Tamandua tetradactyla: one gene and its partner. The protein of the gene in region 1 interacts with the protein of each later gene in a biochemical or structural test. Links are inferred from orthologs where the notes say so. Each region holds a gene or a part of one and is shown in the gene's direction. Other genes may lie near its edges. The genes, in order: KLHL20 and DAPK1.

What was found.
Region 2: the proteins of KLHL20 (region 1) and DAPK1 are reported together in a solved structure, tested with the Homo sapiens proteins (2 studies listed by BioGRID and IntAct, with this or other methods). The link is inferred for Tamandua tetradactyla from reciprocal best matches to the Homo sapiens genes KLHL20 and DAPK1.

The regions. Positions count from the first base shown.
Region 1 is NC_135330.1:27,515,304-27,530,440, forward strand, and holds the start of KLHL20 (kelch-like protein 20), read left to right. Parts: upstream 1-8,290; 5' UTR 8,291-8,430; intron 8,431-9,445; 5' UTR 9,446-9,486; coding exon 9,487-9,509; intron 9,510-15,137. UniProt on the Homo sapiens protein: Substrate-specific adapter of a BCR (BTB-CUL3-RBX1) E3 ubiquitin-protein ligase complex involved in interferon response and anterograde Golgi to endosome transport.
Region 2 is NC_135328.1:120,791,136-120,806,639, forward strand, and holds the start of DAPK1 (death-associated protein kinase 1), read left to right. Parts: upstream 1-9,124; 5' UTR 9,125-9,264; intron 9,265-11,382; 5' UTR 11,383-11,584; intron 11,585-12,147; exon of another isoform or gene 12,148-12,402; intron 12,403-12,637; exon of another isoform or gene 12,638-12,789; intron 12,790-12,820; exon of another isoform or gene 12,821-12,935; intron 12,936-12,996; exon of another isoform or gene 12,997-13,127; intron 13,128-13,283; 5' UTR 13,284-13,391; coding exon 13,392-13,453; intron 13,454-15,504. UniProt on the Homo sapiens protein: Calcium/calmodulin-dependent serine/threonine kinase involved in multiple cellular signaling pathways that trigger cell survival, apoptosis, and autophagy.

The DNA.
Region 1 (15,137 bases):
TGCTCGGGCCTTCTTAATCTTATTTTAGGCCTTTCAAACAGAAGATAGTAATTATAATGAACAGCTTGCTTATTTTCTATTTTTTTCTGGTCCTCTTTTTCTTGTGGTGTATGGTCATTGTCACCTGTTTTAAGTAGTTTCCTAACAAGTGCCAGACATGGCAGAAGAGAAAGGAAATCTTAAACCATATTCCTACTGATTCAGGAATTTAGGATCCAAAACAAACAGTAAATTAAAAAGAGGGTATGGGGTGGGGGTGGAGGGTGGCAATGAAAAACAGTAGAGAAGGACCAAGTTTACCCAGTAATGATAAAAACTTTTCATTATTATATCTGTTATGGTGATCTGGGATCAGTGCTCTTTTTTGTTTACTGTAATTGTTTTGAGGGGTCACAAACCGCACCCATATAAGACAGCAAACTTCTTTGATGAATGTTGTATCTGTTCTAACTGTTCCACCAACTGGCAGATCTCTCTCTCTCCCTCTCTCTCTCTCTCTCTTTCTCTCTCTCTCTCTCTCTCTCTCTCTCTCTCTCTCTCTCTCTCTCCCTCCCTCCCTCCCTCCCTCCCCCCTCCCTCCCTCCCTCCCTCTCTCTCTTTCTCTCTCTCACCTCCCTGTTACCTGAGACACAACAATATTGAAATTATACCAGTTAATAACCCTACAGTGACTTCTTAGTGGTCAAGTGAAAGGAAGAGTTGCCCATTCCTCATTTGAAATCCAAAGCTAGAAATGATTAAGCTTAGTGACAAAGGCAAGTTGAAAGCCAAAATAGGCTAAAAGACAAGAAAGATTCTTGAAGGAAATTAAATGTGTTAGTAGGAGGGAACACAATAATGATGAGAAAGCAAAACAGCCTTTTTGCTGATATGGAGAAAGCGTAAGTGGTCTGGATAGATGATCAAACCAGCCACAACATTCTCAAAGCTAATCTAGTGTTCAAGGTCCTAACTCTCTTCAATTCTTTCAAGGCTTAAAGAGAGGTGAAGAAGCTACAGAAGAAAAGTTTGAAGCTAACAGAAGTTGGTTCATAGGATTTAAGTAAAGAAGCCATCTCTGAAACATAAAAGGGTAAGATGAAGCAGCAAATGCTGATGTAGACGCTGCAGCAGGTCTTCCAAGATCTAAGATAATTGATGAATGTATCTACACTAAACAACAGATTTTCATTGTAGATGAAACAGCCTTCTGTTGGAAGAGAATGCCATCTAGGACTTTCATAGCTAGAAGAAGAGAAGATAATGCCTGCCTTCAAAGCTTCAAAGGACAAGGTGACTCTCTCATTAGGGGTTAATGCAACTGTTTAAGTTGAATCCAGTGCTCATTTATCTCTCCAAAAATCTTAGGGACCTTAAGAATTATACTAAACCCATACTGCCTATGTTCTATAAATGGAACAACAAAGCCTGGGTGTCAACACAACTGTTTACAACATCATTTACTATTTTAATCCCACTGCTGAGACCTCCTGCTCAGAAAAAAGATTCTTTTCAAAATTTTATTACTGCTCAATGACAATGCACCTAGTCACCCAAGAGCACTAATGGAAATATACAGAGAGATATTGTTTGTATACCTGCTAGCATGACATCCATCCTGCAGCCCATGGATCAAGGAATAATTTTGATTTTCAAGTCTTATTATTTAAGAAATATGTTTCATGAAGTTATAGGTGCCATAGATAGTGATTCCTCTGATGGATTTAGACAAAGTCAATTGAAAACCTTCTGGAGATGATTCACCATTCATTAAAAATATTTGTGATTTATGGAAAGAAGTCAAAATATCAACGTTAACAGGGGTTTGAACAAAGTTGATTCCAACCCTCATGGATGATTTTGAGGGTTTCAAAACTTCAGTGGAGGAAGTAAGTGCAAATCTGGTGGAAAAAGCAGGAGAACTAGAATTTGAAGTGGAGCTTAAAGATGTGACTGAATTGCTGCAATCTCATTATAAAACTTGAATGGATGAGGAGTTGCTTCTTATCGAGGAGCAAAGAAAGTAGTTTCTTGGGATGGAAGCTACTCCTATGAAAACCACTGCACATTGTTGAAATGACAACAAAGTATTTAGAATGTTGTATGAACTTAGTTGATAAAGCAGTGGCATGGTTTGAGAGAATAGTCTAATTTTGAAAGAAGTTATACGGTGGGTAAAATGCTACAAAATAGCAATGCATGCTACAGAGAAATCCTTTGTAAAGGAAAAGTCAATCAAACTTCATTGTTAGGTATTTTAAGACACCCAACCTTCAGCAACCACCACCCTGATCAATCAGCAGCCATCAGTATTGAGGCAAGACCCTCCACCAGCAAAAAGATTATGACTCAACTCTCTGAAGGTTCAGATGGTGGTTAGCATGTTTTAGCAACAAAATATTTTTAAATTAAGATATGTACATTTAAAAAAAAACATAACGCTGCTTCACATGTAATAAACTACAGTACAGTATAAACATAATTTATATATGCCCTGGGAAATCAAAAAATTCATGTGACTTACTTTATGCTATATTTGCTTTATTGTGGTGGTCTGGAACCAAGCCCTCAAAACCTCCAAGGTATGCCTCTGTTGACTGATTTTCTTATGTTAAACTGTCCTTGCATTCCTGGGATAAATTTTACTTGGTCACAGTGTATAATAATTTTAATGTGCTGCTGAATTTGATTGCTAGTATGTTGTTGAGGAATTTATATTTATATTCATAAAGGATATTGGTTTGTAATTTTCTTTTCTTGTAGAGTCTTTAGCTGGCTTCACGATCAGAGTAATGCTGACCTCATAGAATGAATTAGGGAATGTTTCCTCCTCTTCAATTTTTTGGAAGAGTTTGAACAAGGTTTTGTGTTAATTCTTCTTGGAATATTTAGTAGAATTCACCACTGAAGCCATCTCATCATGGGAGTATAATAATACTGGTGTTTATTTGGAATATAATACTGATTTTCAGATTTACCTATATAGCTACCCTTAATAGTGTTCTATATTTCTTCATATTACTTCAAGTTACTGTCTATTGTCCTTTAATTTCAGCCTGAAGAATTCCTCTAGTATTTTGTGTAGAGCAGATCTGCTAGTAACAAACTCCCTTAGCTTTTGTTTGTATGGTAATGTCTTGATTTCTCCTTCATTCTTGAAGAATAGTTTTCAGATGTAGAACTCTTGGTTAGCAGTTTTCTTTTTTTCTTTCAGCACTTTAAATGTTAGCCCATTGCCTTCTGGCCTCCATAGTTTCTAATTAGAAATCAGCTCTTAATCTTATTGAGGCTACCTTCATATGATATGTCATTCTTCTCTTGCTGCTTTCAAGATTCTCTCTTTGTCTTTGTCTTTCAACAATTTGACCATAATGTGTCTCCATACAAATCTCTTTGAGTTTATATTGCTTGGAGTTCATTGGGTACCTTGGATATATAGATTCATATATTTAATAAAATTTAGATAGCTTTTAGTCATTATTCTCCAAATATCCTTTCTACCCCTTGCTCTCTTCTCCTTCTGGGACACCCATAATGCATATATTGACTCACTTGGTGGTGTACTTCTAGTCTTTCAGTCTCTGTTCACTTTTCTTCATTCTTTTTCCTTTCTTCTCCTCAGACTGGATAAGTTCAATTGTTCTGTCTCAAAATTTGCAGATTATTTCTTGTGACTTCACAAATCTGCTGTTGGACCACCCTAGTGAAAGTTTCATCTCAATTACTGTACCTTTCAGCTCCAGAATTCCTATTTGGTTCCTTTTTATAATTTCTCTCTATTCTCATTTTATTCATTTATCATTTCCTGATTTTCTTTAGTTTATCTATAGTTTCCTTTAGCTTTTTGAGCAAATCTACCTGCAGGACAAGTTTTAAGATGGTGTGTCTTTCAGGCTGCTACCAGACAGGTAGGGACTAACATATATGTTCCTATTATGTACACAAGGGTTACTCTGTTTCCTCCAAAACTGGGACCAGGGACCCACATTATGAGTGCAGGCCGGCTCTGCACCAAACTAGTAAGGGGTGGGGGGAGGACCAACCAGGGCACATGAGATCCTACCACTTTTAAGAGGGATTTTCTTGATTTAGTACTGACCCTGTTAACACAATCCTTTAACTGCTTTTGGAGCTTTTAAAAACATATTTTGCCACTTCTTGTTCAAATTTCTTTTGAGCAAGAAGTGTGGGAAAGAGCCCTGAAATTTTCACTCTGCCATCTTGATTGGTCAGGACCTCCCACTAGTTACATTTTTAAGCACCTATTACGTGCTGGGCACATCTTTAATATTTTATGTGTATTTGTGGCACTTACTCTTCATAATCGGGAGATAACAAATCATCATTAACTATCTTTTTTTGACCAGGACAAGATTTGACCTGACTAGGTATCATTTGGGACACATCTTTTTTGTATTTTGAATATATTTTTTATACCATTTAATGGCTCCAATTGTCAGAAATTTGAGCACACCATAGAAACTAAAGAGGTGTAGTTCAGAAATAGATTCTTCGGTGACTATTGTGGTTTTGTTGCTGAAGCTTTTTTACAGTTTTGGCAATGATATGGTTTCTCTTTCATATTGATCCTCTTATATGGACATAACTTATGTAAACTTTCTTTTCCATGTGAATTACCTAGTTCTTATGGAGATCCAAGTTCTGCATAAGGCCTTTGTTTTAAGGTTTGCATTTAAAGAGATTTTGAAAGTTCTCTACTGGCTGTCAAATAGAGATATATAAGAGAAACTTTTCTCACACGCCCTATGTTGGTAGGGTTGTAGTTCCATATCTGCATTATTTTGACCAATAAGATGCCGATGGTGCACTATGAAAAAATTGGAATTAACACTTGTCTTAGGAATTCTCCTCCACATTCATGTATAGGACAGTATACATGTGTGACTCCTCCTTTGACCCTTGATGAAATCTAACTCTTCAGAATAAGTAAATTCTCTAAATCTAAGATACTCAGGATTATATGAATACCTGAGGCTCTAATCCAGATTATACGCAGATGTCTCATGACACCATGAAAAACTAAGATCTGTAGTAATCATCAACAAAGAATTTATCACTACTACACTGAATCTGCAGTTTTAAGAATCCAGTATCTGACTGAAACTCGTCTAATGGGTTTGCTATGTTCTTCCTCAATAATATGCTCACAGCATGTTTAGAAGTCCCATTCTTGTCTACTAGCCTTCTAGTAGAAGATGTGAATTTCTTCATATCTGAGAACATCTCTAAAGTCTTAATTAAATTAACCTGGAAAACCTCCAGATTTATAGGCCTTCAACTTCTGGTTAAGTTGTAAACCCAATGATAGGTTTAAATGGTACCCATTTTTATATGATTCATGTTGATTTAATTTTAGATGGCCTTTTTCCACAAAATAATCCCATTTTATGAAATAGCTGTGTTATTCATTTTCTAATGGCCTATTTATCACATGGCTGGAATGGTAGTAGAATGCAGGGGACAGATTTGAGAAACAGATTAAGGTATCAACAGGAGGAGCCTTCTCTGAAGAAAGTCTGCCAGCATCTGGGACACCTTTGTCACAGGGAAGTTACATGGCTGGAATCTGCTGGTCCTTCCCTCTTGGGTTTCATTGCTTTCAGCTCCGGCCTACAGTAGTTCTCTCAGCTTCTACAGGTGTTTTGTCTCTCAGCTTCTCCAGGGCTTTTCTCTCTAAGATCTCTGGGCTTTTCCTGTCTTTTTTCCACTCACAAAGGGCTTCAGTAAAAGGATCAAGATCCACCTTGAATGGGGTGGGTCACATCTCAGTTGTGGTCCCACCTACAATAGGTCTGCACACACAGGAATGAACTAGAAGAATATGGTCTTTTCTGAGGTAAATAACAGCTTCAAACCATCACAGGTGTGAAATGGCATCTCATTTTGGTTTTGATATGCATACTGTTGTTGGCTAATAATGTTGAGTATCTTTTCATGAGCTTTCTTTCCATTTGCATATTTTCTTTAAAGAGGATATGTGGTTTCCAAATATTTTCTCCCATTTTGTGAAGATTCTTTTTTAGCTTTTTAACAGCTGTTGTATGTAGCAATGTTGACTTTCAGAACTGCAGAACTCCAACTCTGAGTCTTAGGCGTCACACAAGAACCCAATTTTCCAGGGAAATACTGGGTTATAGATTTATAGAACAGCACCTCAGAATCTAGAATACTTACAACTCCAGACTAAATGTGGCAGCTTTAAGAGCTTACCCCAATTTTTTATAAATATTTTTTTTGTGTTCATCCACTCAGAGCAGAGCCCGCAGCGATCCAAAGTTGTTTCTCAAATGTCATGATCAGTGATTAGCCATGCCCAACCCTGGTCTTAGGGAAATGATTTTTATGTCTCTTTCTGTTACCAGTGACTTAACCAGGGATTGGACCACTTGGTGTCCTCCCACGAGTGTGAAGGATGGGCACCTTTAGGTGCCACACAGAGATAGCAATTTACTTTTCTTTATCATCATTTACCAACCTTTTCCCTCCCACTGTCCTGGATGCTGTATAGTGTTCTTTTACTCTCTGGAGTTTCAGAATAGTTGTTTCATACTGCTCATGCCTTGTTCATAGCTGTTCTGGTAGAAGGACTTAGTCCTGGAACTACCTACTTCACCATCTGTCTACAATCCCAACTCACTTTTGAATATTAATTCATTATTTCACATAAGTAGTTCAGCAACAGGGAACTTTCTGGGCAAGGAAATATGGGTAGTTCAAAAATGACACGTAAGGATCCACATTCTTTCAGCCTCTCTGTTCTACCATTGTTACTGTCTAGCTTCATTCTCCTCTGTTTTACCTCATGGTTGCAAAATGGTTACAGCAGTTCCAAGTATGACATCCAGACAGAACAATGGCCAGGGAAAAAAAAGAGGCTCTCTCTCCTTGTGTCTCTTTCTCAAAAGCCAGGAATCCTTACCCTGCAGTTTCCATTATATTTCCCCTCATTTCTGGTTGGTCAATATTAGGTCATTTGTATGAAGATGTGATTAACAAGATTGGTTTAGACCAAATATTCATAATAGAAAAGTTGTTGTGAAGTCAATCACCATAACCACATAAATGTTCACTAGCATGTTAGCTCTCTGAAAGGAAGCTACTGTTCTCAGTAGTCCACTACTGTATCCCCAAATCCTAGCACAGTACCTGGCAAACAACATATGCTCAATTAATTAATGATCCCATCTAAACATCTAAATAAATAGAATAGGAGAGGTGAAAACTGACATTTGTTGAGTGTCTACTAAATAGACTTACAACGTGATATTCATTTTAATTTACTTCCCACAAATTCATTAAGAAGATATTACTTCCCTTCTATGTAAAAGGAAACTATGCTTAAGAGATTAAGAAGTTTGTCCAAGATCACAAAATTAATCAGACACAGGACTGGACTTTGAACCCATTGATCTAAAGACTATATATTTGCACCGCAAGCTAATTAACAAGAGGTAATCTTATGCTTTCAGAAACAATTGGACAAATCTATGTTGATACCATTTGAAGAACAGCTGAAAAATATCTGCTTATGTTAATGTTTAGCCTAAGATAGGTATCAGGAAACGAAGAAGAGCCTTTCACCAAGAAGCTTGAAACCATAACCCCACAGTTGTATCATTTGTTACATAGTAAACAAATGATACAACTGTTTTACTAAATACATAGTAAAGCAGATGTCTGTGTGCTATCTGAAAATCTGGGGGCAATGAGCAAATTGAAAAAGGATTTTCCCCTTAAAATCAAAGTGACTCCACAGAAGTGTTTGTTGAAGTGACAGATAAATACTAATTGAAAGGTCAATCCAGCATGGCCTTAAGAGTCCTGATAAAATCCTGGTGTCTAGAAAGCTGGATTGTGTGAATGCTGGAACACTGGGTCTGTTTCTGATTTTTCCGTGTATCCTCAGCATCTTGCACATAGTAGGGCCCCAATAGATACATGCAAATCCCACGTTTAGGGTCAAGATTGTGCCAGTAGGAAACCTGCCAGCTACGAATAAAAATTCCTACTATTTCATTACTACTCCAATCTTCCAATTGCCTTCTTCTGGGGAAAACAAGACAGGACGAAACATCAGTATCCAAAATCTGACAGGCGGTGAACTCGCAAAATGGACAAGTTCAACATACAAGGAAGTGAATACGAGGACAGGCAGTCTGACGTTATCCAAATCCCCAGCAAAAGGCGCGACTACATCTGGAGTCACACCAGAACCTCTTGGCTGAATGTGTGTGTTCCGGAGGGGAACGCTTTAGGAGTAGGAACACTTCCTGCTCCTGCGCAGGGGCGGGGGAGGAACTAGCTCTGAGGAGCGGCATCCTGTCTGCACAAGCGCTGGCAGAGTGGGAGGCAGAAAGGCTGCGTGAGGAGGAGGTAGAGAAGGTTGCAGCAGAGGAGGCTGCGGCAGAAGAGAAGAGTTTATCAGAGCCGGTAAGTGAGCCGCCTTAGAGTAGAATACGATGTACAGCACCAAGAGGCTCGCTTTGCAAATCTGCAGTCCTAAGTTACCAGGCTGCCGGGTAGGGTCGGGGCCGTGCCTTGTCCATCGCCTGTCAGTCGGCGCCGAGGAGGAACTGTGGGGAGGCTGGGCCTTGCGGGGCATCAGACTGCGCTCTCGCGGGCTGTCAGCCCTCACCCTAAGCCGAGGGGTGCCCTGGGATTCCTCCCTAATTATTCTCCTACAACGGTGGTTGGAAACCCGGGGAAGGAAAGGGCTGTTGGGCGTCCCATTTAACCCCTGGGACCTGGAGATTCTGCCAAGTGGATGGTGGGCGTTATTTCGGGGACGGAGGAAAGGGCTTGTAAAGATATTATCTATGACCGAAGCCACACTTTCCTTGTGCTGTTAAGCTAACCGGACAATCGGGAGGGAGTTGTTTGTTTGTTTTTTAAATGTCTCCTCCCACTCCTGTCACTTCTGGACAAGTTAACAGCCTTCAGATCCCTTGTTAAACAAACGTGCCCCCTACTCGATCTCTCACGGTGCAACTGCTGAGGATATCCGGTGAATGCTTTGTAGATGCACTTGATGGCGAGGTCACGGTTAAATGTTTCCACGCACTTTTTTTTTTTTAATTTTATTGACAGATCTTCACATACATACAGTCCATACATGGTGTACAGTCAGTGGCTCACAATATCATCGTGTAGTTGTGTGTTCATCACCATGTCCAAGCACTTTTTGAAGAGAGACAAGACTAACTTTGCTATCGGGACTATTTCTTCCGTCACCTTCACATGCAATCATTTTAGCATTCAGAGTAAGGATATAGAATTGTCTTAAAGTTTCTGGATTCAGTTATGATTTTACGTCCATAAAAGGCCTGAGGTATAAAGGAGATAAAATTCTTTATCATCGAATGAAATGAATGAAACTTTTATATATAGTTTTTTTACTGAAAAGGTCAGAAATAGTTTTTAAGTTACTGCTTTTCTATTGTCTTAGGTTCGGCTTTAGAGTGTGCTGAAGGGTACTTTTCATGGTGCATGGAAGGAAAGCCAATGCGCAGGTAGGCATTTAGGAAGAAAACCTTCTGTTTCACTATTGGAATTCAGCAGGTAATAATTCAGACTTCATTTTAAAAAAATGACTTTCAGCTCTCATTAAATTCTGCTTGAAACTAATGGCTCTTGTTCTAAAATAAATCAAAAGTAGTATCAGGAATTAATATCTTTTTAATAGAGTATAATCTGAAGCTGAAAAAGTGCTTTGACTTTTATGTAATTTTTAACATTAAGTTTTCCTTTCTGCGTGGGTTTTTTTTTGTCATAAAGAATCATTAACTGTACTAATGCTTTATAGGTTTATAATAGTCTTCCACTCCCTATAGAATGTAGAGAATTCTGTTGCTATATAAGAATAATAATTACTTGTAATACACTGTGCTGCATGTCTGATTATGGTTTTGGTTATTTCTTTGGTGTTCTATAATACATTTGTTCTGTTAATTGAAATAACTGCATTGCAGGGCAGATTGTTCAAGGACTGAAAAATGTATTGAACATGAAATTTAGTCCATAGGAAAATAGAATATGTGGGAACATATAGACAATTATAGGCCCATCCCAACCTAGAATTTAGTGATACTTTTTCTCCCTCTGTTCTAGCAGGTGATACTAAAATCCTTATTGAAATGAATTCAATCCAGTTCTATGTTTTCCTTTCAAACCCTACAATCATAAAGCAAAGTTTCACTTCTTAAACTCATTTCATTTTTATTGTAATGTTACTTGTTATTTGACATTAAAGATAAACAGCTGTGGGAGACTTTTGTAAGAGAAGTAACTGATGGGAGAATGATTTGTAGCTTAGAACCAGGAGCGAAAACCAGAATGTACATCTCTTTCCAAATCTGTTACTGATTTATTGATTGGCCTTGAACTGTTCACCTTTTTTGTGCCCTAGTTTACTTTTCTGGTTTATCTTACCAGGATATTTGTAATTAATGAATGCTTGAAAATGCTTTGAAATGGCCAGGTGGAAAGATGTTATGGGTATGACAGATGCCATTATCTTACTTCTGTCTTCCTCTTTAATAAGAGTAATATTTGACAGCAAATTACATGAAGAAATTAACAACTCATATTAAATGTTTCATCCCTTTAACGTTTAACATGATCGCAAAACCCACTAATTGCTACTACTCATCCTCAGTTGCCATAAATGTCATACCTTATGTAATTGCTAAAATGATAATTTACTGTCTTTTTAAAAGGGAATATTTTTGGTTTGTCAGTAATTTCTATGTGAAAGGTTTGTTTAATCACTCGTCTATTCTTTTTCTCCTTGCTTGATTACATAATACTCCTGATTATTCAGAATTCTATGGGAGAATTCTTGTGCCATTAATCATTAAGTTACAGGTCTTTCTTCATCATCTTTTCACTTGACCGGAGCCTGGCCTCCCATTGCTCTCTAATTTGCTTTTACCTGTTGTCACAACTCCCTTCCCTTTCCTTGTTGAGCTGTCATTCTCTTAGTGCTGCAGCCAGAGGAAGTCTCTGCAAAGTAATGTTGGGTTTATACTCAGTTGCTGTTTAAGAAGTTTTAAATGAGAAGTAACTCATTTTCCATAGAAATTCTCCCTACTGGACTGTGAGCTCTTTGAATCCCATATGTCTTCTGTATCTTTGCATCTCTAGCACCTTACCACTGAATAATTTTTTTAATAACTAAACAATTGATCTACAGGCTTTTTTTCCCCTGGGCGGGGGGTGAGGGGAACTGTGGACAAAAAGAGATAAAAGCTTCATTACATTCATTTATTTATTTAAACAACTATTATTGCATGTACGTGATACAGAATTTAAAAGATATATTGGCACAGGAAGACCTTTGTACGTGGGAAACTACTGTAATGATTCTTCTCTTGCTTATTCTAGAAATAGGTTGTGGGCATCTAGAAAAGGGCAGTGGTAATTATTATTAATAATAATAAAGGCAATGGTGAATAAAATGAGAATTTTATTGGTGTTAGAACGGCCCATATGAGAAAGCAATTACCCTGGTTTTGACAGTCCTATGGAAACTGCTCCCTACCTATCTGAGCTCATGATAATTTCTCTGTAGCATATAGGAACCGACTGGGGAATGGAAAGTTGGTTGTAACTGATTAAATTGATTTTACAAACCACTAATTGGTTTGTACCTAGAAGTTTGAAAAATACTGTATTGTGTCCCGTTAATTGCCAGCCCTATATATGTACATAGCTTCCAATCAGATCTCTAATGCCTTACTCTTACTTATGAGTGGATAACCAAAAGATCTCATGACATTTTTAAAAATTTAATGAATACTCACAAAGAAGCTCAGCACAATTCACGATGTAAAAGAAGACATTTTAAAAATGTATTCCCAGAGAAATAAAAGATATAATACCCCCCCAAAGAAGTATATTGGAATATTCCATGAAAAATAAGTTTCCAAATGCTGACTCCAATCCCCAGCTCTCTCCAGAGGCAACCACTGAAGAGTTTCTTATGCGTTCTTTAAGAGGCATTGTCATATGTATACAAGCATATATGGACTATCTTCCCTTTTTAAGAAACACTAGTGGGCGGGCCACGGTGGCTCAGCAGGCAAGAATGCTTGCCTGCGATGCCAGAGGACCCGGGTTCGATTCCCGGTGCCTGCCCATGTAAAAAAAAAAAAGAACACTAGTGTCAGCATATCATGCATATTTTTTTTCACTTCATGATTTTATCTTGTAGATTGTGACAAATATATATAGACTGCCTTATTCTTTTTAATATTTATATATTGTTCCATTGTTGTAGATACCATATGTAATCTGTCCCTTTTGACAGACATTTAAGTTATTTGAAATGTTTTGCTGTTATAAACAGTTCCACAACAGATATCTTTGTAGGCAGTTATTTGCCCAAATGTGTAAGTATAGAATAAATTCTTAAATGCAGAATTGCCCAAAGAGTGCATTTTTAACGTGATACTAACAAATTTCCCTCCTTAGAGGTTGTGCCAATCTACAGTCTCATGACTATATCTGTTTTGCAAGATATTATTTTTTAGTTGTTTCATTTAGAGATGCTAAAATATTTTGAATTATAATTCCTCCATCTTTCCTTAAAAATATAAATAAGAAACAAGTATTTTATTTTATTAGACTGTTTATTCATTCACCAAACATTTTTATAGCACTGTGCTCTATGCCTGAGACTATACTAAATATATTACCTGTGAAGTGATGGAAACAGACATGTAAACAAACACTATAATACAAGATGAAAAGGATTTTAATAGAAATGTAAATACCAATGACGGAGCTTCTGCTCTGTGGAGATAAGGAAAGCTTCACAGAGATGGTGATGTTTAAGCTGGGTCTTCCATAAAAAATAAAATTTACTTCTAAAGTGGGGAATTGATTAAGGACACCATAAGCAGAGAGAACTACTTGTGGAAAAAAAAAAAAAAAAAAAGGACCCCAAGGATTGCATGACACATGGAATGGAGAGTTTATCTGGTGTATATGGTATATGGAAGGAAAAAGGGGAAGCAGGAAAAAAAATTAAGAAGCGGGGGAAATAAGTCAAGGAAAATAAGGCTGGAACCATAGGGAAGAGTTTGAACTTTTTATCCTTTAGGTATTCTAGTTTGCTAGCTGCCGGGATGCAATATACCAGAATCAGAATGGCTTTTAAAAAGGGGAATTTAATAAGTTGCTAGTTTACAGTTCTAAGGCTGAGAAAATGTCCAATTAAAACAAACCTATAGAAATGTCCAATCAAAGGCATCCAGGGAAAGATACCTTGGTTTAAGAAGGCCAATGATAGTCAGGGTTTCTCTCTCATCTGGAAAGGCACATGGCGAACACAGTCAGTTTCTCTCTCGACTGGAAAGGCACATGGCGAGCAAGGCATCATCTGCTACTTTCTCTCCTGGCTTCCTGTTTCATGAAGCTCCCTGAGAGGCGTTTTCCTTCTCCATCTCCAAAGGTAATTGGAATATGGATTTGGGCCAGAAGAGAACATTGGGCTGGGAATGAAAAGTTTGTGAGTCATCAGTACACAGAAAAGTCTTAAAGCTGTAGGTATGAATCAGGGTAGGCTAGAGAAGAATACCAAGGACAGAACCTTAGGGAGTACCAGAAATGTTTAAGGTGCGACCTAAGAGGAAGACTCAGTGAAGATTCTAAAATGGGTTAAAAGTTTAGGTGCTAATAAAAAAAGTTAAAAAAAAAAAAAAGTTTAGGTGCTTTGAACCTTGGTTTATTTAATTGTATGTAGAGTTTTTATAGATAGTTTTTCAATGACAGTGAAGATCAGATGAGCTGTTCCCTGAGTTCAACTTCAAAAGAAAAAGCTTCCAAAAAACACCAGATCTCCTATCACTCGGATTACCTTTTTATTCTAGTCAGTCTAAAATGTATGCTTAAAAAGAAATAGTGTTAAATATACCTGCTTGATTTGGCTTTTCCCTGGTGCAGTATTCACTGTAGGTTGGTTCACTCAGACCCTTCATCCTTTCTTCCCTCTACCATAGACAGTACAAAATTAAATATGTACTTGATTTCTTAGTCTTCCTTGTAATTTCAGGATGGCCATCTGACATATTCTCCCAAGGAAATGTCAGCAGAATTTGGTGAGGAGTATTATAGGAAGGGTTTTGCTTGCCTGGTGTAAAGGGAGGCAGGCTTGCTTGCACGGCTGTTTGTCCTTCATCTCGCCTTGATTCCTGGGTCAAGGCATTCAATACTGACTCTCATTTTATCTAATAAGCAGTGGTTAGATGTCTTGAAACTGAAACAGTTGCAACTTGTTTTCAGGCTATACACGGGATATGAGCCTGATTTTCTGGTATGGAATCAGACATGGAATGTAGTGCCTACTGGTTGCCTTCCTAGTAAATAGAACTGGCATTCTATTTTAATATTAAGCTAGTATTTCTGTTTTGAGGATGCTCAAATCTCTAACTTTCTCTATTCAGAGATGTTTACAGCTATTAATGAGAGTAATACAATTAGGTCTTTTTTTAAGAGCAAAATGTTGATTTCTAAATTAAAACAAAATTTTTGAAGTATGAAAAGAGAGATGTTCATTTAGATAGGGAGCAAAATTCCAGAGAAAGGAAAGATTCTACATGTAAGTTTCTATATTCAAGGTTGTTAGTAAATTTGGAATATATTTCTAATTTTACCATTTCACATTTGAACTATATTTTTGCTAACAAAATGTTTTGGGCTGAAAGTAACCCCAAATCAAACTGGCTTAATCAATATGGAAATCTTTTCTTTACATGACAGAAAACCCATACTTAGGGTGGGCTCCAGGGTTGATTGATTCGGTGACTATATAATATCATCTTGAACCCAGGTTCTTTCTGCCTCTCCATGTAACCTTGCAGTGTCAGCTTCATCCTAACCTAAAATTGATCTCTCCACCACAACCAGTACTACGTTCTTCCTTGTTGTTGCCCAACAGAAGAAATTCTCCCTCAGTCATGGAATATAAGTTTGGTCCATCAGTTTGATGATGAGTTTAGGTAAGGGAATGCCACCAACTAATTGATTTAAGAGAAATTAAGATCCATTCTTAAACCTAGGTGCTTGGGCAATTTCCCCTGGAGCACATGATGTGGTGGAGGAACAGAATCAGGGTATGTTAAAGTTGGAGATAGTTG
Region 2 (15,504 bases), on another chromosome or scaffold:
TTCTGTCCCACGCTGCCAGGAAAGCCCGCACCCCTGGAAGTCATGTCACACGTAGACAGGGGGAGATTTTGTCCATTTTTCAATTGAGTTGTATGTCTTTTTTGTTGTTGTGTTGAAGGGTCTCTTTATATATTCTAGATATGAAACTCTTATCAAATAAGTCATTTCTAAATATTTTCTCCCATTGTATAGACTGTTTTTTTTACTTCCATGATAAAGTAATCTGACATACAAAAGTTTTATATTTTGATGAGGTTTGGTGAGCTTTTAAGAATACCAATATTTTATCCCAGACCAATTAAAAGACTGTAGGTAGAGCCAGGAGCGAGGATCTTTTATAAGCTCCAGCTTTCCAGATGCGCATGTTAAGGCCAAAGCTGAGAACTGCCACTCTAGATCATGTAGAATCATCACTCTGGCGGCCCAGGCCCTTGCAGCCCAGCCTGCGGAGGTGAGCACCCTGACCAGCATCCCTGTTTGTGGACTGACCACAGTGGAGCAACTCCAAAGGTAGAGAGCCATCTGAGTCTGGGAGAAAAGGTAAGATGGAGGCTGCTTCCCCAGGTCTTGGGGTGGCCAGTTGACTGTTCCCGGGAGACAGTCTCTTTAGCCCTCTGTTTTCACCCACCCTAAGCCCTCATTCAGGAACAAAGCTGGCAGAAGTTGCCAGCAGATGCTTTTTTTTTTTAGAAATCATTCCATTCTACATATGCAATCAGTAATTCTTTTTTTTTTTTATTAATTAACGGAAAAAAAGAAATTAACCCAACATTTAGAAATCATACCATTCTACATATGCAATCAGTAATTCTTAACATCATCACATAGATGCATGATCATCGTTTCTTAGTACATTTGCATCGGTTTAGAAGAACTAGCAACACAACAGAAAAAGATATAGAATGTTAATATAGAGAAAAAAATACAAGTAATAATAATAGTAAAAAAAACAACAATAAAAACAAACAAACAAAAAAAAAACTATAGCTCAGTTGCAGCTTCATTCAGTGTTTTAACATGATTACTTTACAATTAGGTATTATTGTGCTGTCCATTTTTGAGTTTTTGTATCTAGTCCTGCAATCAGCAATTCTTAACATCATCACATAGATGCATGATCATCATTTCTTAGTACATTTGCATCGATTTAGGAAAAGAACTAGCAAAACAACAGAAAAAGATATAGAATGTTAATATAGAGAAAAAAATAAAAATAATAATAATAGTAAAAAAAAAGACACAAACAAACAGACAAACAAAAAAAAAACCTATAGCTCAGATGCAGCTTCATTCAGTGTTTTAACATGATTACTTTACAATTAGGTGTTATTGTGCTATCCATTTTTGAGTTTTTATATCTATTCCTGTTGCACAGTCTGTATCCCTTCAGCTCCAATTACCCATTATCTTACCCTGTTTCTAACTCCTGCTGAACTCTGTTACCAATGATATATTCCAAGTTTATTCTCGAATGTCGGTTCACATCAGTGGGACCATACAGTATTTGTCCTTTAGTTTTTGGCTAGACTCACTCAGCATAATGTTCTCTAGGTCCATCCATGTTATTACATGCTTCATAAGTTTATTTTGTCTTAAAGCTGCATAATATTCTATCATATGTATATACCACAGTTTGTTTAGCCACTCGTCTGTTGATGGACATTTTGGCTGTTTCCATCTCTTTGCAATTGTAAATACTGCTGCTATAATCACTGGTGTGCAAATGTCCGTTTGTGTCTTTGCCCTTAAGTCCTTTGAGTAGATACCTAGCAATGGTATTGCTGGGTCGTATGGCAATTCTATATTCAGTTTTTTGAGGAACCGCCAAACTGCCTTCCACAGTGGTTGCACCATTTGACATTCCCACCAACAGTGGATAAGTGTGCCTCTTTCTCCGCATCCTCTCCAGCACTTGTCATTTTCTGTTTTGTTGATAATGGCCATTCTGGTGGGTGTGAGATGATATCTCATTGTGGTTTTGATTTGCATTTCTCTAATGGCCAGGGACATTGGGCATCTCTTCATGTGCCTTTTGGCCATTTGTATTTCCTCTTCTGAGAGGTGTCTGTTCAAGTCTTTTTCCCATTTTGTAATTGGGTTGGCTGTCTTTTTGTTGTTGAGTTGGACAATCTCTTTATAAATTCTGGATACTAGACATTTATCTGATATGTCATTTCCAAATATTGTCTCCCATTGTGTAGGCTGTCTTTCTACTTTCTTGATGAAGTTCTTTGATGCACAAAAGTGTTTAATTTTGAGGAGCTCCCATTTATTTATTTCTTTCTTCAGTGCTCTTGCTTTAGGTTTAAGGTCCATAAAACCGCCTCCAATTGTAAGTTACATAAGATATCTCCCTACATTTTCCTCTAACTGTTTTATGGTCGTAGACCTAATGTTTAGATCTTTGATCCATTTTGAGTTAACTTTTGTATAGGGTGTGAGATACGGGTCTTCTTTCATTCTTTTGCATATGGATATCCAGTTCTCTAGGCATCATTCATTGAAGAGACTGTTCTGTCCCAGGTGAGTTGACTTGACTGCCTTATCAAAGATCAAATGTCCATAGATGAGAGGGTCTATATCTGAGCACTCTATTCGATTCCATTGGTCGATATATCTATCTTTATGCCAATACCATGCTGTTTTGACCACTGTGGCTTCATAATATGCCTTAAAGTCCGGCAGCGTGAGACCTCCAGCTTCGTTTTTTTCCCTCAAGATACTTTTAGCAATTCAGGACGCCCTGCCCTTCCAGATTAATTTGCTTATTGGTTTTTCTGTTTCTGAAAAATAAGTTGTTGGGATTTTGATTGGTATTGCATTGAATCTGTAAATCAATTAAGGTAGGATTGACATCTTAACTGTATTTAATCTTCCAATCCATGAACATGGTATGCCCTTCCATCTATTTACGTCTTCTATGATTTCTTTTAACAGTTTTTTGTAGTTTTCTTTATATAGGTTTTTTTGTCTGTTTAGTTAAATTTATTCCTAGGTATTTTATTCTTTTAGTTGCAATTGTAAATGGGATTCGTTTCTTGATTTCCCCCTCCGCTTGTTCATTACTAGTGTATAGAAATGCTACAGATTTTTGAATGTTGATCTTGCAACCTGCTACTTTGCTGTACTCATTTATTAGCTGTACTAGTTTTGTTGTGGATTTTTTCCAGGTTTTCAACGTATAGTATCATATCGTCTGCAAACAGTGATAGTTTTACTTCTTCCTTTCCAATTTTGATGCCTTGTATTTCTTTTTCTTGTCTAATTGCTCTGGCTAGAACCTCCAACACAATGTTGAATAATAGTGGTGATAATGGACATCCTTGTCTTGTTCCTGATCTTAGGGGGAAAGTTTTCAATTTTTCCCCATTGAAGATGATATTAGCTGTGGGTTTTTCATATATTCCCTCTATCATTTTAAGGAAGTTCCCTTGTATTCCTATCTTTTGAAGTGTTTTCAACAGGAAAGGATGTTAAATCTTGTCAAATGCCTTCTCTGCATCAATTGAGATGATCATGTGATTTTTCTGCTTTGATTTGTTGATGTGGTGTATTACATTAATTGATTTTCTTATGTTGAACCATCCTTGCATACCTGGGATGAATCCTACTTGGTCATGATGTATAACTCTTTTAATGTGTTGTTGGATTCGATTTGCTAGAATTTTGTTGAGGATTTTTGCATCTATATTCATTAGAGAGATTGGTCTGTAGTTTTCTTTTTTTGTAATATCTTTGCCTGGTCTTGGTATGAGGGTGATGTTGGCTTCCTAGAATGAATTAGGTAGCTTTCCCTCTGCTTCAATTTTTTTGAAGAGTTTAAGCAGAGTTGGTACTAATTCTTTCTGGAATGTTTGATAGAATTCACATGTGAAGCCGTCTGGTCCTGGACTTTTCTTTTTAGGAAGCTTTTGAATGACTGATTCAATTTCTTTACTTGTGATTGGTTTGTTGAGGTCATCTATTTCTTCTTGAGTCAAAGTTGGTTGTTCATGTCTTTCCAGGAACCCGTCCATTTCCTCTAAATTGTTGTATTTATTAGCGTAAAGTTGTTATTAGTGTAAAGTACCCTGTTATTACCTCCTTTATTTCTGTGAGGTCAGTAGTTATGTCTCCTCTTCCATTTCTGATCTTATTTATTTGCATCCCCTCTCTTCTTCTTTTTGTCAATCTTGCTAAGGGCCCATCAATCTTATTGATTTTCTCATAGAACCAACTTCTGGTCTTATTGATTTTCTCTATTGTTTTCATGTTTTCAATTTCATTTATTTCTGCTCTAATCTTTGTTATTTCTTTCCTTTTGCTTGCTTTGGGATTAGTTTGCTGTTCTTTCTCCAGTTCTTCCAAGTGGACAGTTAATTCCTGCATTTTTGCCTTTTCTTCTTTTCTGATAAAGGCATTTAGGGCAATAAATTTCCCTCTTAGCACTGCCTTTGCTGCGTCCCATAAGTTTTGATATGTTGTGTTTTCATTTTCATTCACCTCTAGGTATTTACTAATTTCTGTTGCAATTTCTTCTTTGACCCACTTGTTGTTTAAGAGTGTGTTGTTGAGCCTCCATGTATTTGTGAATTTTCTGGCACTCCGCCTATTATTGATTTCCAACTTCATTCCTTTATGATCCGAGAAAGTGTTGCATATGATTTCAATCTTTTTAAATTTTTTAAGACTTGCTTTGTGACCCAGTATATGGTCTATCTTTGAGAATGATCAATGAGCACTTGAGAAAAAGGTGTATCCTGCTGTTGTGGGATGTAATGTCCTATAAATGTCTGTTAAGTCTAGCTCATTTATAGTAATATTCAGATTCTCTATTTCTTTATTGATCCTCTGTCTAGATGTTCTGTCCATTGATGAGAGTGGTGAATTGAAGTCTCCAGCTATTATGGTATATGTGTCTATTTCCCTTTTCAGTGTTTGCAGTGTATTCCTCACGTATTTTGGGGCATTCTGGTTCGGTGCGCAAATATTTATGATTGTTATGTCTTCTTGTTTAATTGTTCCTTTTATTAGTATATAGTGTCCTTCTTTGTCTCTTTTAACTGTTTTACATTTGAAGTCTAACTTGTTGGATATTAGTATAGCCATTCCTGCTCTTTTCTGGTTGTTATTTGCATGAAATATCTTTTCCCAACCTTTCACTTTCAACGTATATATATCTTTGGGTCTAAGATGTGTTTCCTGTAGACAGCATATAGAAGGATCCTGTTTTTTAATCCATTCTGCCAGTCTATGTCTTTTGATTGGGGAATTCGGTCCATTAACATTTAGAGTTATTACTGTTTGGATAATATTTTCCTCTACCATTTTGCCTTTTGTATTATATATATCATATCTGACTTTCCTTCTTTCTACACTCTTCTCCATGCCTCTCTCTTCTGTCTTTTTGTATCTGACTCTAGTGCTCCCTTTAGTATTTCTTGCAGAGCTGGTCTCTTGGTCACAAATTCTCTCTGTGACTTTTTGTCTGAGAATGTTTTAATTTCTCCCTCATTTTTGAAGGACAATTTTGCTGGATATAGGAGTCTTGGTTGGCAGTTTTTCTCTTTTAGTAACTTAAATATATCATCCCACTGTCTTCTAGCTTCCATGGTTTCTGCTGAGAAATCTACACATAGTCTTATTGGGTTTCCCTTGTATGTGATGGATTGCTCCTCTCTCACTGCTTTCAAGATCCTCTCTTTCTCTTTGACCTCTGACATTCTAACTAGTAAGTGTCTTGGGGAACGCCTATTTGGGTCTAATCTCTTTGGGGAGCACTGCACTTCTTGAATCTGTAATTTTAGGTCTTTCATAAGAGTTGGGAAATTTTCAGTGATAATTTCTTCCATTAGTTTTTCTCCTCCTTTTCCCTTCTCTTCTCCTTCTGGGACACCCACAACATGTATATTTGTGCGATTCACATTGTCCTTGAGTTCCCTGATACCCTGTTCAAATTTTTCCATTCTTTTCCCAATAGTTTCTGTTTCTTTTTGCAGTTCAGATGTTCCATCCTCCAAATCACTAATTCTATCTTCTGTCTCTTTAAATCTATCATTGTAGGTATCCATTGTTTTTTTCCATCTTTTCTACTTTATCCTTCACTTCCATAAGCTCTGTGATTTGTTTTTTCAGTTTTTCTATTTCTTTTTGATCAGCCCATGTCTTCTTCATGTCCTCCCTCAATTTATCAATTTCGTTTTTGAAGAGGTTTTCCATTTCTGTTCGTATATTCAACATTAGTTGTTTCAGCTCCTGTATCTCATTTGAACTATTGGTTTGTTCCTTTGACTGGGCCATATTTTCAATTTTCTGAGCGTGATCCGTTATCTTCTGCTGGCGTCTGGGCATTTAGTCAGATTTCCCTGGGTGTTGGACCCCACAGGTTGAAAGATTTTTCTGTGAATCTCTGGGTTCTGTTTTTCTTATCCTGCCCAGTAGGTGGCGCTCGTGGCACACGTTTGTCTACGGGTTCCACCAGTAAAAGGTGCTGTGGGTCCTTTAACTCTGGAAAACTCTCACCGTAGGGGAGGTTCAGCAGCCGAAGCGTCTTGGAAGAGTGCCAGCCGGCCCGGGGGTCCGAACGCGGGGACGGTCGCTGGCCACTGCAGCACGGGAGAGCGCCCGACCGAATTTCCTTGTCTGCCCGGGGCGCCAAGCGTGGCGGGAGGCCGCCAGCCGTCGCAGCCCGGGAGAGTGCACTGTTCCCAGCTGGACCGGGGAGTCACGTGTTTGGAAGAGACCCCCCAGTCACCGTTCTCCGCAGTCTGGGGATTTCTGACCCAACTCTCTCAGTTGGTCCGGGGGGCCTCGCGTGGTGGGGGCGTCAGCCGCCGCGGCCCAAGGGGACCGCCTGCCCAATTCTGCCAGTTGGCCTGGGAAGGAGGAAGGGAGGGACTCCGGCCGCTTGGCGTCCCACCCAGGAAAGCCCGCGCCCCTCGGTGATCTCACCGGAGCTGGTTCTCCCAGATAGTCAGCCGTTCCAGGATGGGGTACGCCGTCCCTTTGATCTCCATCATGGCTCCGGGAGCTGCTCTGTATTGTCTCCACTCCCCTAGTAACTGTTCTGGAGGAGGAAAGGTGAGGGTGGCAAGGCTGTTGAGGCCGGTGGCGGAGGAGCCGGTGAAGGCGGAAGAGGGCACGGTGGTGGTTGGAGAGCAGCCGGAGCAGGAGGGGGAACCGGCAGACAAAGTGGGGAGAGAGGAGGGCCTTACCCTTCTTCTTTTTGGTCTTGGGTCTTAGCCTTAGGGGATTTCACATACTCCCAGGTCTGTAGCTCCCATGGTGTACACCAGACTTACCCCTCTATAACACACGTGCCCATCTCCACCTCAACATCTTCTAGATGCCCCAAAGCACCTCAAATCTCATGTCTTTAAGACTGACCTCACCTTCCTCCAAACCTCTTGTCCTCCTGTATTTCAGCTATAGGCAGCAATATCTGCCTTTTACTCAACCAAAACTGTGGGAGTCATCCTGACTCTGTCCTTTCCTCAGATACCAAGCCCTCTGATGCCTTTCCTCTTTAAAGCATTTCATTGCTTTTCTCTATCCATCTTCTCCAGGGATCTGCCAAATTATCCTTAATCAACCCTGGGCATCAGTGTCTCCAGAAAGAAGACCCCCATCTGCTGGGCACAATGGACAAGACTATCAATAGTGGAGAGTAGAGAAGTTAATAAGACTTTGGTTAATCTCTCCACTCTTAGCCAAATCCTGGACAAGGTGGGAAAGATCTTTCACCTTTCTTAACCTCTTGCCATTTCACTGCCTGGGCTCTAATTATTTATTGATGCCTATGTGAACCATTGTCTTTCGCATACCCAGGATTTTAACCTGGCTGTTTTTTCTGCCTAAATGCCAACTTCTCCAACTCCTACTGCTTTACAATTCACTACCCCATTGTCCATCATTTTATTCTGCTAACTCTTGATTGTCTTTCAAATTTTGGGCTAGGATGTCAGCTCCTCTAGAAATCTCCCTGAAACTCCACTCTCACCCCTACCTTCCATCTCCCATCTCTGGCCCTTACCCGAATTAAGTATCCTCTTTGGGTGCTTCCACAGCACTCTGGCATTCCTCTCTCATTAGGGTATAAGTCAGGATCCTACAGGAAAGAGGAGGCACACTCAAATTAGGATGGTTCATCCTAATGGAAGAATGTATGGAAGCCATAAGGGAATGAACTGGAACCCCAGGTTAGTAATACTAGAGTTGGCACCAACCTTAGGCCCAAAGAGACAGGAGGGTGGTTACCAAAGTTTGGAAAGAAAAATCATGTACAAAAGTCATCTTGCAAGGAATAGTGACCTTTGTTTGACATTGACCAAGGCAACCCTGCAGGGAGGAAAGCAGGGAAATAGCTAGCTTGATCTTACTCCCCTCCCTTCGACTTGACTTCATGCTGTGGCTCCCTATTGGCCAAACCTACCAGAAGCCAGAGGACAAGGGAATGAGTTAAAATTATCTTACAGGTCAGCATATAAATTGTCCATTTACTCATTGATTTCCCTAATTAGATTGGGTTTTCTGAGAAGAGAATGGTTTTTTTTTTTTTTCCAAATCTCTGCCTCCCTAGCATATAACATATACTAGGTATTCAATAATGGCCTGTTGATTGTATTGACTGAATAGTAAATGTAGTGAGTTGGGTGTTTCTTGAGTCTGTGCTTTCTGAGCTTGCCACTGTGATTTTTGGAATCCAGGGCAAAATGGGGAACAGAATGTCCTATATCATTTTCATTGTCTGATAGAAGGAAACATTATTTGGTCAGGAGAGACAAATGTGGGAGGAATCAGAAGCAGCCACATGACAGGCTACCTAAGAGGCACTCAACTGCATAATGGACTGTTGCTTCAGCAGTGAAACCACAGGTGCAGGAATATTCTTCAAGGACCACTTAAAAATATTAGCCCTTGATAAAAGCCTAAGGTATGTTTTAAAAAGTAACTTAGAAGCTAACATGGTCCACATTGGTTGCACTTAGATGATCTTGAAAAAAGAATGGTTAATCCTTAAACTTCAGGCTGTGTCCCTCTCCCTCAAATAACCTGAGGATTATTTTATTTTTGTTTTTTTATTTGTCCTTGAAAAAACGCTCTAAGTGCAATCCTTCCTGTATTTTCTCTTCTTTCCCCCCCTCAGCCACCAGATGAAAAGAATCCAACTGGGAACTACAGATGCCCTGGGGGACAATAGATCCAGCAAGTAGTTGTGCCCCTGAATGACTGCATGGAGCAGAGAGCAGACCCCCCTTCCCACCCCCAGCAAACATCTGTGCTGAGGTACTGAAATAAACCTGTAATATGCTAAGCTTCTGAGATTTGGGAGGTTGGTAGCAGCTAGTTACTTAACCCTGACTGATATAACTGTAAGATTATTTTTGAAAATCTGCACTTGAGTCTGTTTCAAATGCTATCACCATGATTATCATAATCCATAATCCATATCATAATCACATTTTATGTAGGAACTTTCCACCTTGAATCTCATAACTTGAGGATTATTTTATTTTTGGTTTTTTGTTTGAGAGATGTGCCCCAGAACCTTTTTTTGCTGGAATATGATAGAAAATATAATAATACCCAGTATTCTGATGTATTTTACAATGAACAAAGCACTGTCTTATGTATTATCTATTTAGTTTCTCCCAACAAGTTGGAGGAATATACAGGAGAAGGATTATTGCCCCCATTCTGCAGGTGATGAAACTGAGACTAAGAGGTTTAAGGCTTAAATGGAAATGACAACTAATTTACAGGGTTATTTGAAGATCAGTTGGGAGAATTAGTCTGCCTGGCACCCAATTTGTGTTGAGAGTTAAGTTTCCTGTTTCAGTTATCTATTGCTGTGTAGGAAACCACCCAAAACAATGGCTTAAAACAAAACAATAATTTATTTTATTTACAGAACATGGACTGTGAAAATGCAAATAACTGGGAGTGTGGGGGAGGGGACACGAATAGCTGGGGGGTTCCTCTTTTTCTCTGTAGTTTCTTCACATGGTGCCCCAGGGAAACAGTAGTTCTTGGCAGCTGAAGGAGACAGACAGTGGAGACAGATTCAGAGAGGGAGAGAGAGACTTCTAACACCTGATGACCTAGTCTTGTGTCACTTCCACCACATTTTCAAGCTGCTAAGTCCAGGCCATATTCATGGGAAGGGGAATTAGACTACTTCTGTTTCCAGGAGTGTCAAATTATTTGCAGACAAGTTTTTAAACTACCACATTTCCCCTCTCCAAAATGCTTGCCTAAATAAGTGCAGATACAAAGCTCAGGGGTAAGTGACTCATCCAAAGTCATTTAGCTGTTCATTGGTTTCATGAGACTAGAACCAATTTTTGTAGCTCCAAATTCCATGCTCTTTTTCTCTACCTTAGAATATCTCCCGTGATTGCACTCTCTAATAGGGCAGGTAAGATACACTGCACCCTGAAACAAGCACCCAAACTCATACAATCCTTTTGATTGCCAGGCAAAACACACATATTTCTTTTGCAAGAAAAATATTACCCATAAAGCCATCATGTGTAAGCACTTCCCAAATTTCTCCCAAACATCTGTGTTTTTTATTTTTTCCCCAACAGATGTATTCATTTGCATTTTTCCCAGATGAATCACTTATTTTGTTATTTTTTGACTGCATTTCTCACCTCTCAAGATCCTTTTGTGTTAATCCTCAAACCCACCGCTTAGGTTAATACCAGCTCCCAATTTGGACCCTTCCCCCAATTCCATTATTAGGCTCAATCTCAGGCCACTCCTGAGGGCCTTCAAATGAAATATTCCTTAAGTAATCTTCAAGACTACTGACCTAAGGCCTGAGAGCATTCTTTAGTTTTGTTGGTTTTAAAGCAGCCCAAATCTCCACAGTTCAAAATTTCTGTTAAACCGAAGAGATTTTAAACGAACCCATTTTAGAAAACCTGGGAATTTGAACATTATATGGATCTGAATTCTCAGAGGGGTTATCGTATGAGTTTTTGTATTTATTGGATATAAAATAAATTTCTTTTTAGGAACTTTCCTCTATTTGGGGATCCCCTAGATGTCCCTGACAGAAATATCCTTTCTGCTTTCCCCGCCCATAGGCTTGGTGGGAGACTGGGATAAGAAGTACAGAAGAAAATGGATAACTGGTCTCCAGTGGTTATGGGATCCCTGTGCAGATTAGAATAACCCAAAAGAAATAAGATACAAGTCACATATATACAATTAAATTTTCTGGTAGCCACCTTTTTAAAAAATACAAAGGAACAAATGAATAGATTTAAATAACGATTTTATTTAACCCAATATTATCATTTCAACAAGAAATCAATTTTAAAAATTTAACGAGATATTTCGCAGTCTAATTTCCATATTGCATCTTTGAAATTGAAGCTTATTTTGCACTTTCAGCACATCTCAACGGAGACTAACCACATTGCAACTGGTCAATAGCCAATATCATATTGGGCCACACTAGAAGACCCTTCAGTTCCTGCTGTTTCGCTGGGCCTCTGGGACCCCAATCCTTTCTTCTTTGATTGCACATCTTCTTACTGTTCAGAACTTAACTCAAAAACACTGTCCTGGAGAAGACCCTGCCTAATGATCTAAGGTATTCTCCAAACCCCTCACCCCTTCACTGTCATTCTCTGTCCGGTTAACCTTGATTTCATGGAATTTGTCTTTTCTCAAGTGATCTTATTTGCTTGCATATTTATTGTTTATCGTCTCCGTGAATAGAAGTTTCACGAGGGCAGAAATTTTATTATTATTATTTTTATTTTTAACTATTTTATTCTCAGAGATTTCGCTGTTCCGAACACCGTGCCTGACACACAGGGCTCTCAGGACACTTTTGCTGAACCACCGAATCTCATTTTTCTAGAACTTAGCCGGAGGGGGCAACTCCGCCGCGGGTCACAGGTGGGACGCCCGCTCCCCCTCCCCGGCGTGCGTGTGGGGTGAGTGGGTGTGCGCGGGGGTGTACGCGGTAGAGCGCGCCAGCGAGCCGGGAGCGCGGAGCTGGGTGTAGCAGCCAGCGCCGCGCAGAACCAGCAGCGCCCGCCGGGCCAGGCAGCTCGGAGGTGGGTGGGCCGCGCGCCGCCAGCCCGCCCGCGGGGTCCCCATTGGCCGCCTGCCGGCCGCCCTCCACCCGGGAGGTGGCCAGGAGCCGAAGCCTCTCCGGACCCCGAGCGGGAAAGCCCGGCCGAGGCGACGCCAGGGACATTGTTCCCGCCGCGGAGGGGGCACGGCGACCCTCGCAGCTGCCGGGATCTGGAGCCAGCGCCCGTGCGGACGCGCGGGGTCCGCTGCCTCCGACTCGGTTCCTCCCTCGGCTCTCGTCGCCACCCTGCTGGTCTCCGGCGCTGGCGCCTATGGTCGGCCTCCGACAGCGCTCCGGAGGGACCCCAGGAGCTCCCGGGCGCCCGGGTGAGTGGCCGCGCGCGACTCCCCGGGCTCCTCCCCGGCCCCAACGCCTGCTTTTGCCATCGCGATCGCCGCGCGGCGGGGCTTTCCAGGGCAGCGCCTCTGCAAGGGGAAGGCCAGGGCGGGGTAAACTTGGCTGCGGGGAGAAGTGGGATCGCCGACGGGAGGCGCTCCAACCTGGCGGCCCGGGTCGGAACAGGTGGCGCGGGGCCGGGCCGGGCGCTTTGTGTCCCGGCGAGGGGACTGGAGCGGGCGGCGGCGCCTCCCTCGGCGGCTCTCTTCCCTCCCTTGCTCCCCCGGGCGGCCGCACGCCGGGTCGGCCGGGTAACGGAGAGGGAGTCGCCAGGAATGTGCCTCCGGGGACTGCCTGGCTCGTGAGGAGGGAAGGAGGTAAAGGGGGAGGGGTGGCCGGAGAGGTGCGGGAGCCCAGAGGTGGCGCGGGGGCTGCCACAGCCGCTGCGGGCTGGAGAAGGATGCTTCTAACGAGGCGCATGCCGCCCGGGCGAGGGCTTCCTTCTTCCGCGGCGCCCCTGGAGGTGGGGAGCTGGGTGGGCGTGTGTGCAGAGAAAGGGGGAGGCGGGGAAGCCAGTCCCTTCCGGAGCCGGTTCTGATCCTTGCCGCCCGTCCGCTTTCGAGGATGCGGACCTTGGGGTGCGGTTGTGCCGGGCCCTACGCGCGCGCGGGCGACGCAGGGCTGGGGGGCGCCCCTGACTCGGGTTTAACAAAGGGTGCGCCTCTTCACTAGGCGGGGAGGGGTAGCTTGGTGTCTCCTGCACACCCCCAGCTGGAGACGTGGCCTTCAGCGAGCGAGTCCTAGCCCTGGGAATGTCTACTTCCTTTTTTGGGTTGATATTTTATTATTCTTGCCTTTTTTTTTTTTAAAGGCCTGGAGACTGATGCATGAGGGCCCTACGGAGGCGCAGGAGCGGTGGTGATGGTTTGGGAAGTGGAGCTGAAGTGCGCCGGACTTTGGTGAGGCGTGACAGTTTATCATGACCGTGTTCAGGCAGGAAAACGTGGATGATTACTACGACACCGGCGAGGAACTTGGCAGGTACGAGGGGTGTCAGAAGCGAACACAACTGGATTGTGAGAGTGCATAATATTGGGGGCGGTACACAAATCCAGTTTGCATCAGGCATCTCCCTCGCGCTTCCAGGAGATGGGCAAATTATATAGAGAAGAGTTGCTAACCCAGCGAGGACCTGGGGCTAGAAATAAACCACCTCATCCTAAAAATGTGGGGTAGGGGCGAGGCAATTCAGGGCTAGATTATGATGCAAAGTCTGTTATTGATCAGAACCCTGGGACCAGAGCAGATTAATCGTCTGCAGGAACTCTTCTCAGTTTTTTACCCTTCTGAGACAATGAGGCAAAAGCTAAGATTATAATTGCCACTGTAGGTAGTGACTGGTTATATGTGATTTAAAGAGAGTGCACACGAATTAGTAGAATTTTAAAATCTCCATGCATCTCTTCTCTGAGTTGACACAGTGACAAGAACAAGTATTGGTAGGCTGTAAATGGACACTTGCCAGATGCTGAAGTTGGCTTTGGGTTTTGAAACTTCTTCAATCCAGGAATTTAATTATCTGTTGGTGTTAGTGGTTGGATTGGCTTCGTTTACAATATTAAAATTTTAACAAATCAGAGTCTAATATGGCTTTCTGGATTCTGCGCCTGTTGGATTGCTGTAGAAGCTGTGATTCTGGCTGTTTAAGTCTTTCAGTTTGTAGGTGAACAAAGAATGATTTATTTGAGGGGTGTCCTTTTGCATTTGTTGTCTTGAAGTTGAGGATCAGATCAGAAGATTTATAAGAACTGAGTCATGTTTCACCGAGTTCCCCTCTGGGTCTTTCAAAGATTGTTGAGTTCCAGTCTACTTTAGCAGAAAAGCCAATTTTCATACCTACATTTAAAATCCAAAATATGGAATTTGTGATACATTTGCCAGAAGTTTGTGTGCTTACTTATGCATGTACAGAAATAATTATTTTTCCATACACATCTGATGTCCCGATACAAAGTTTCCTTTTTTCTTCATGAGAAGGAAATTAAAAAACTTCCACATCTTAGATTACCCGAGAAATATTAAAATTGAGCTTAATTCAATTAAAAAATAAATTCAAATCACAGGGCAACGTGAAAGCAATTTTTAAAAAGTTATTATAGCAGTATTTCTGCGTATGTTTAGTATTGACTCAAAACATGGGGACTCAGTGAGTAAATGAGTAAGAAGGAAAATCATATTTCATGGGTATGTTTAGGTTTGAAGTTGAAGGGTATGTGGTTAAAATACTTGGCTTAACTAGAAGTGAATCACTTTATTCTGGTGGTTTTTAGCAAGAAGACTGATATATGGAGTTTTCCTTGAGGAAAAAAGTGAAAAAAACATTCTAATTCAGTTTGTATTCTGTGGCCCGATTATATGAGATCTATTGTTAAAAGAGATGATTAAACAACTAATCGTGGTGCTATGCTTTGAAATTTGTAGCTTTTTTGTACAAATGTTATTGTTCATGAAAAAAGAAGGAAAAAAAGTCGATTGTGATAAAAAGTATTTAAGTCCTCTAGCTTCCTATAGGAGCAGCTAGAAGGAAAAATATGAGAGGATCGTATGGTAGCCCATGACAAACTCTGGGATCTGTCCTTTAACCACTTTTTGAAGAGTGCTTTGAAAACTATTGCTTTTTTATTTCTTTGCTTTGTATATATGTTATACGATACAATAAAAAAGCTAAAAAAAGATTATTAAAATTAGGTGAGATGATTGCTTTATGAGTATAGTATATTGACTTGTTTTCGTTAAGGTCTTTTGGTAAAGTTATTTGTCATGAGGAAGAAAAATAAAGAGGCCTCTTTTTTATTTTGTGGCGGGTGAGGGGAGTTTGTGCTCCTTATTTCGTGGGCGTGATGACAAACCCTCGCCTCTGCTAAGAGGTTGTTTGCTCATTTGTCACTAGCATTTCACTTTGATTTTGGCTCTGTATACATTTCAGTGTGCAACTTTCTCCCCACTGTGCAAGACTAATTGACAAATTGTTTACTGAATAATATTGTTTATGTAAACTATGAATCTGAAAGAAGTGCTTTGAAAAACTGGGA